Linked DNA regions of Neurospora crassa OR74A. Each later gene encodes a partner of the first gene's protein in a complex. Links are inferred from orthologs where the notes say so. Each region holds a gene or a part of one and is shown in the gene's direction. Other genes may lie near its edges. The genes, in order: NCU07936 and NCU08944.

The links.
Region 2: the proteins of NCU07936 (region 1) and NCU08944 are in contact, whole or in part, in a crystal structure (PDB 4HNY), measured with the Saccharomyces cerevisiae proteins. The link is inferred for Neurospora crassa OR74A from reciprocal best matches to the Saccharomyces cerevisiae genes NAT1 and ARD1. Residues at the interface, in NP_010244.1 of Saccharomyces cerevisiae: Tyr199, Glu203, Phe238, Asp239, Lys240, Phe241, Gly242, Glu245, Ile262, Arg265, Thr266, Lys269, Arg270, Asn271, Pro272, Asp273, Asn274, Phe275, Lys276, Leu285, Ile287, Leu293, Ala296, Leu297, Lys300, Leu301, Gln303, Phe304, Tyr305, Pro306; in NP_011877.1 of Saccharomyces cerevisiae: Pro2, Ile3, Asn4, Ile5, Arg6, Arg7, Ile10, Asn11, Ile13, Ile14, Gln17, Ala19, Asn20, Pro25, Asn27, Tyr28, Met30, Lys31, Met34, Tyr35, Ile37, Leu38, Ser39, Trp40, Pro41, Glu42, Phe45, Leu52, Asp53, Glu55.

What each region holds. Positions count from the first base shown.
Region 1 is NC_026504.1:1,297,413-1,301,324, reverse strand, and holds the start of NCU07936 (NMDA receptor-regulated protein 1), read left to right. Parts: upstream 1-1,212; 5' UTR 1,213-1,748; coding exon 1,749-3,786; intron 3,787-3,838; coding exon 3,839-3,912. Other genes in the region: NCU07935 (caffeine-induced death protein Cid2), read left to right, coding at 82-157, 229-746. UniProt on the Saccharomyces cerevisiae protein: Non-catalytic component of the NatA N-terminal acetyltransferase, which catalyzes acetylation of proteins beginning with Met-Ser, Met-Gly and Met-Ala.
Region 2 is NC_026505.1:5,781,254-5,784,821, forward strand, and holds NCU08944 (N-acetyltransferase complex ARD1 subunit), read left to right. Parts: upstream 1-1,250; 5' UTR 1,251-1,342; intron 1,343-1,453; exon of another isoform or gene 1,454-1,466; 5' UTR 1,467-1,585; coding exon 1,586-1,898; intron 1,899-2,080; coding exon 2,081-2,478; 3' UTR 2,479-2,869; downstream 2,870-3,568. Other genes in the region: NCU08943 (3-oxoacyl-(acyl-carrier-protein) reductase), read right to left, coding at 1-672, 727-778; NCU08945 (RNA exonuclease 3), read right to left, coding at 3,164-3,568. UniProt on the Saccharomyces cerevisiae protein: Catalytic component of the NatA N-terminal acetyltransferase, which catalyzes acetylation of proteins beginning with Met-Ser, Met-Gly and Met-Ala.

The sequences.
Region 1 (3,912 bases):
ACAACGCAGAAGGGGGAAGCTGCTGCAACGGCTGGCCAAACTGCAGCGCCTCCAGTCGAAAAGCCCAAGCCCAAGAACACCATGGTCCAGCCAACAAGCGCGCCGTCCGCACCAGCGCTCACTCCCCAGTTTTGCTTTTCGACAGCAGCTCTACGAGGTGGGATTCCTTCACCTTATAGACACAAATATTTGAGAGTCTTTTACAATTTACTGACCCAAAACCCACAGACTTCCTACGAGTCTCCCGCTCCGCCATCGACGACACCATAACCCAAAACCTCAACGCCCTCGTCACTCCCTCCCGCGCTGGCTTCGACCCGTCCTCTACTACCCAGCGCAGCCCCCGGCCCTTATCCCGGCAAATCGACCCCGCCGCCTGCCAGGAATTCAAAGACCAAGTGTTGTTCCCCTCGTGGCAAGCGCGGTCGCAGGTGTTGAGCTACTGCGCGCTGGTGGCCACCTCGCCGGACCCGGACGACCCGGAGGCGGCGATCCGGGAGGCCGAGAAGCAGAAGGATCGGGAGAGGGTGGTGAATGAACGGCTGGACCCCTACTCGGCGAGGTTTTTCCCGCGAGAGCCGAGGACGGAACAGCTGGCGAGCGTGATCAGGATGGAGCAGGGCGTGGAGAATATTGTGAGGACGAGGACGTGGGGGATTGTGGGGGAGAGGTGTGGGAGTGATGGGAAGACGTGGGAGCAGGCTTTGGGAGAGTGGAGGAGGGATAAGCATTTGCCGTTGGCGTGAAGATGATTTTTTTTTTTGTGCTGATGGCAGTGGGTGATGTGGTCGCTTATGAAGAGATGAAGGTGAGGGAAGGAAGGGGTGTAAGTGAAAAAGTGTGTGCTAAGCATTGGGTATGGCGTATTAGGATGTGTGACCATATGAATGGTTGTAATTGTAGGGTAATGGGATCTTCTGTCAATATATCTGAAGAAAGAAGCGAAAATATCTACATCAAATTACTAAGCTTTCGTCTATCGCCGCGAGGAATTATGGAAATCTTTCATTGTCTCGGGAGGAGTTATCGCGGGATCTGGCGGGAGGCTTCCGTGTCTTCGGTGTTGTTACCGAGAGGGCCGAGCCGGAGTCTAGCTAAAGATTAACCCCACTTATAGGGAGGTGAGTGGGAGAGCTTCGCCGGCTGTTGGCCAATCGGCAGAGAGCAACTTTTTGATCAATGCGCCCATCTCACCAAATTGTCAGCTGTAGAATTTCACTTTGCAGTTTGGGGAAAGTGCATCGTCAACGTCGACAAGAACTGTGGAATAGTCACGTCTGTCAAGCACATAAGACCGTCACAGGTATTCTTTCTTCTTCTTTCATTTTGGCTGTAGACGGTAAGTATAACCATTCCCCATGTTTAGGTGGTTCAGGTAGGTACTTGTGCGGTGCAAACCCTCTCGCGGTGTCCCGATGTTGTTGGCTGTGAGTGGTAGCAAGAGCTGTCCCACCAGGCTCCGCTCATCCCCGACACCGAAACAACGACATCCACTTCCACCAAAACCAGCCCACTCTCGGCCGGCCCCTCGTCCCCCTCCCCCACGAACTGATCCCTGACCTGACATAGTGGCAGTCTCCGACTCGAGTCGAGAGAGTCTTCATCCTCCTGAGCTTAACAACGACAACAACAACTACAACAACCCACTCCGCGACAACCGTCCTTCCGCCGCAACCCAACCCCGCGGCCGTCTTTGACATCGAAACACAAGCCTTTCCTCATCGTCCCACCCCGCAGTCCATTCCTCGATGCCGCAAACCCTGAGCACGAGAGAGGCCAACCTCTTTCGTACCGTCATCCGCCACTATGAGGACAAGCAGTACAAGCGCGGCTTGAAGGCCGCCGAGCAGATCCTCAAGAAAAACCCCAGGCATGGCGACACCATGTCCATGAAGGCTCTGATCATGAACTCCCAGGGCAAGACGGAGGAGGCCTTTGCCCTCGCCAAGGAGGCTCTCACCGTCGACATGAAGTCCCACATCTGCTGGCACGTCTACGGTATCCTCTACCGCCAGCACAAGAACTTCGACGAGGCCATCAAGGCCTACAAGTTTGCCCTCAAGCTCGAGCCCGAGTCCCAACAGATCCAGCGTGACCTCGCCGTCCTCCAGGTCCAGATCCGCGACTACCAGGGCTACGTCCAGAGCAGGTTCGCCATGCTCAAGGCCAAGCCCCATCTCCGCCAGAACTGGACCGCCCTTGCGATTGCCTATCAGCTCGAAGGCAGCCTCGAACAGGCCGAGAACATCCTCACCACCTACGAAAAGTCCATGACCAACGTTCCCCTCAAGACCGACCAGGAGCACTCCGAGGCTCTCCTTTACAAGAACACCATTATTGCCGAGCGAGGCGATATCAAGCGTGCGCTCGAGCACCTCGAGTCCGACTGCAAGAACTGCCTGGACAGGTTGGCTGTTATGGAAATGCGGGCGCGCTACTTGGGTCAGCTCAACAGGAAAGAGGAGGCGGCAAAGGCGTGGCGGGCACTGCTGGACAGGAACCCCGAGCACCCCGAGTACTACAAGGGTCTGATTGAGGCTTTGGAGATTGACGAGAAGGACGAGGCTGCTCTCAAGGCCATCTATGACGAGTATGCTGCCAAGTACCCTCGCTCGGATGCTGCCAAGAGGTTGCCTCTCAACTTCCTCACCGGCGATAGCTTCAAGGCTGCTGCCAAGAGCTATCTCACCAACATGTTGGACAGGGGTGTGCCTTCGGTGTTTGCCAACCTCAAGCACCTCTACTCTGAGGTTGCCAAGAAGGAGGCCATCCTCGCCCTTGCCGAGGAGTATCTGAAGGAGCATAAGGGGTCTGAGCAAGCGAACGGCGACAGCTCCAAGGGTGTCGGTGCTGCTCTTTACTTCCTGGCGCAACATTACAACTACCACCTCAGCCGCGACCTTGCCAAGGCCATGGAGTATGTCGAGCAGGCCATCGAGCTCGATCCCAAGAACGTTGACTTCCACATGACCAAGGCCAGGATATTCAAGCACCAGGGCGATACCGCCAAGGCCTCGGAAACCATGGACCGTGCCCGTTCGCTCGACACCAAGGATCGTTACATCAACTCCAAGGCCGCCAAGTACCAACTACGGAACAACGAGAACGAGAAGGCTCTCGAGACCATGGGTCTTTTCACGAGGGCTGAAACTGTCGGCGGACCCCTCGCTGACTTGACCGACATGCAGTGCATGTGGTTCTTGACTGAAGATGGTGAGGCCTGGCAACGGCGTGGCAACACCGGCTTGGCTCTCAAGCGTTTCACCACCATCCACAACATTTTCGATATCTGGCAGGAGGACCAATTCGACTTCCACAGCTTCTCCCTCCGTAAGGGTCAGATCCGTGCCTATGTCGACATGATCCGCTGGGAGGACAGCATCCGCGAGCACCCCTTTTACTTCCGTGCTGCTCTTGACGCCGTCAAGCTGTACCTTGACATGTTTGAGAAGCAGCAGGCTTCTGCCAACGGCACCAACGGCACTGGCGAGGCCACCAACGGAGAGGATGCCGCTGAGAAGAAGAAGGCCGCCAAGAAGGCCCGCAAGGAAGCCCAGAAGGCCGAGCGCGAGGCCGCTGAGAAGGCTGCTAAGCAGGATCCCAACAAGGCGACGGCCAAGAAGGACGAGGAACCTAAGAAGAAAGACGACGATCCGAACGGCCTCAAGCTCGCTGCTACGACGGATCCTTTGGGTGATGCCATGAAGTTCCTCACCAACATCTTGCAGTTCAGCCCCAAGAACATTGAGGGCCAAGTTGCTGGTTTCGATGTTTACATCCGCAGGAGTAGGTTTTAGATGCAACCCCTGTACTTGATTTCTCACTAATAAATATACAGAGAAGTATCTTCTTGCGCTGCGCTGCCTAAACGCGGCTCAGGCGCTCAACCCCGAACACCCCCGTGTCAAGGAG
Region 2 (3,568 bases), on another chromosome or scaffold:
ACTGCTTCGCCTCCTCCACGGCCTCCTTGCCATGCAGATCCTCCCGCGCCTTCATCAGCGGCGTGTGCTTGATCCACCCCTCGATGCCCTCCAGAAACTCCTCCGAGTTGGATGCATACATGGGTCCCTCGACCGGGCCTGGGTTGACAGCGTTGACTGTACAGTTCTCAGCCAGCTCGCGGCTCCAGGTACGGGTCATGGCTTCGATGGCCGCCTTGGAGCCGCCGTAGACGGACTGGCCTATGAAGCCAGTGGAGGAGGAGACGGAGGAGATATTGACGATGCGGCCAGAGCGGTCCTTGGGGAGGTAAGGCTGGGCAGTCTGGACGAGCAGCAAGGGGCCTAGGACATTGACACGGTAGGTTTCCGTAAAGTCGTCCACCTTGACGTTGGGAATCAGGTCGTTGCGGGCGATGCCGGCGTTGTTGATGATGATGTCGATCTGGAGGGAGCCATCGGCCTTGGAGAAGGCGGACGTGGCGGCGGTGATGATGGCTTGGGGGCCTTCGGGAGTGCCAATGTCGGCTTGGACGGGCACGGAGGAGATGGAGTAGGTCTTGTTGAGACGGTCGGACAGCTCGGAGGCTAGGGAGGCGGAGGAGGGGGTGGTGTAGTTGAGGATGAGGTTGCAGCCTTTGGAGGCGAGGTTCTCGGCGATGGCGGCGCCGATGCCTGGAGATTCTTAGTGTCTTGAATGTGAATTCAAGAAGCATAAGAGTTACTAACCTCTAGAAGAGCCGGAAACAATGGCAAGCTTGCCCTTGAGTGGTTGGGACATTGTAAGTGGTGTTGTCGTTCTGGTATGAGTGATCTATGGTGGGGTAGCTCGAGGCTGGGTATCAAGAGGGTATCACAGCAATCACACACACAAGAACAGAAGAGACGACAATGAAAGTCAGAGTCAATTGAGCATAGGGGAGCGGAAAGCTCTATATACATTCACCGCCCGTCACGAGAACATTGTCCAACTTCCTCATTATCGGCTAGTATTACTGTCATGAATTCAGAGAAGCTTTCAGACGAAGCTCCCCCGCATCACATTGCATCCACGGCGCGCTTGGCCCGGTGTTGACTGCCCCTAGCTCCCGGGCTTGTCTGCCCCGCGATTTGTGCGGCTATAGCAGCCGTCCCACCATCATCCAACCGTGAAGCTGTGCCGCCAGGGGTCAGGCCAGTCTGGATTCCACACGGGAAGTGCCCCACATTGGAGTGCGGATTGTGGATCCAGAGCCTCCCACCACCGTAGCGCAGCGTCAAGCAGTCTCCAATTCAACATTGACAAGTTGTGAACTGCGACCGCAACACCGAACCACCGATCCCTGACATAGGCGACTCGCTTCTTGTAAGTTCGACCCCCGTTGAAGACTGCTCCGTATCAGCTTGGTACTATCCGTTGCTGGGGATACCTACCCTAATACCCTGCCGTCGAGATAGCTGTTACTAACCAGTCCAGCTGCTTCTCCCAGAGCCCACCACCACCATCCCAAAGTTGAAGCTATCACCAAGTCGTCAACCCTCCCACTCTCTAAGTCACCACCAACACCACCATCCTTCCAGACCGAACCCCCCAATCCCAACAGCCACAATGGATATTCGCGTCCTCCGCCCCTCGGACATCCCTCTGATCCAGCACGCCAACATCGAGAACCTGCCCGAGAACTACTTCCTCAAGTACTACCTGTACCACGCGCTCTCATGGCCTCAGCTGTCGTATGTCGCCGTCGACGTGAGCCGCCCGGCCAAGAGCGCCTACGACTACCCCAAGATCGTCGGCTACGTCCTGGCCAAGATGGAGGAGGAGCCGACGGACGGAGTGCAGCACGGTCACATTACTAGCTTGAGCGTGATGCGCACCCATAGGCGACTCGGCATTGCTGAGAAGCTGATGAGGCAGTCTCGTACGTCGTTTCCCCCCCTTCTCCCCCCTTTCTCTCCTTATCTTCCTTTCTCTCCTTATCTTCCTTTCCTTTCTTTCTTTCTTCCTTTTTTTTCTCTCTCCTCGCTCCGCTCGACCTCTACCCTCCACACAAAAGCACCACCAACTAACCTATCATCTCACTGACGCGGTGTGAAAAAACAGAACAAGCAATGGTCGAGACCTTCGGCGCCCACTACGTCTCTCTGCACGTGCGCGTCTCCAACGCCGCCGCCATCCACCTGTACCGCGACACTTTGGGCTTCAAGACGGAGAAGACGGAAGCCAAGTACTACGCCGACGGCGAGGACGCCTATTGCATGAAGCTCGACCTGGCGCCCATCCGCGAGGCGCTTTTGGCCGAGCAGCTGGACGAGAAGGACGCCAAACCAAAAATCGAGGAAGGAAAGGGATCGGAAGGGGTGGATGAGGGTGAGGCGGTTGGTGATGTCGGTCGTGATCCTGAAGCAGACTCTAAGAAAGAGGATAAGACGGTCAAGGTCAAGGTCGGTAGGGGGTTAGGTGTGGGTGAGTTGGTGGAGAGGGATGAGAGTAAACACTAGAGATATAACTACTGCTGCTGTTACTGTGACGGTGTGCTTGTAAAGAGGGGAAGAAGAAGAAGAAGAAGAGCGTTGATATTAGACTTGGCATTACTGGCTGGGGTTTGGGAAAAGGAAAAAAGAAAGATTCGCTGTTTTTTTATTTACAGAAGGAGACGGGCGTCTAGAACTAAACCCTCCCCGAGCGATCACTTCGAAAATGGTGGGATGAATGCATACCCGGCGTAGCGAATTGGATGCAAAATAGGTGAATAGTCATGTAGTCAATTTGAGAGTAGTTGTTCAAATTGGTTCTGTAAATACCCATTGTACGGATTAGAAGAAAAGAAAAGAAAAGAAAAAAGGCTGGCCTATTGGAGGGAAAGGGGCAAAGTAAACAATGAACAAGTAGAAGGGCACAGCCAGAACAGAATTGGCAACATCACCATCAATTTTACAATGGAGCACTTCCAATGTGTCTACTAGTCCGAGCAGTAACGAATAAGCATAGCTTTTGTCTACTCATTGTGCCTATCGTTGCGAAATTCGCGTAATCACTTCAAGAAACTGGCAAACTTGGCAAACATACTACATTGTAGATTCTGTGTCGCAACAGAGCCCCCAAAGCCAACTGAATCTTCTCTTCACCACCAAATACTTTCCAGTTCGCCCAGCTTCCAAGTGACAAGACACCCCCGTCTCTAATCTAAACCTCAACCAATTCCCCCTCCTCCGTGCCATCCCTCGTCTTCCTCACTTCCGTCAGCTTCTCCCCACCACTCTTCTTCCCCTTCGAATCCTTCGGCGGCACAAACTCTCCATCCTTCAACGTCCACCCCTCCCTCTTCATTCTCGCCCACGTATGCTGGATCTTGAACCTGACCAAATCTCCCGCCGCCCTTGCGTCCTCCGCTGAATCGTGCCCTAGTAGCTTTCCGCCCTGTCCCGTCGTCCCATCGGCGGCGGAATCAGCATCCGGTTCCACCTGGATAGCCTTGTTGAGGTTCCATTCCATCAACATCTTCAGCCCGTGTCGATAGGGAAGGGCCTTCTTGTGCGGAAAGAGAAGAACGGTGTCGATGAGCGTGGGGTGGCAGATGCGCATGGCGTT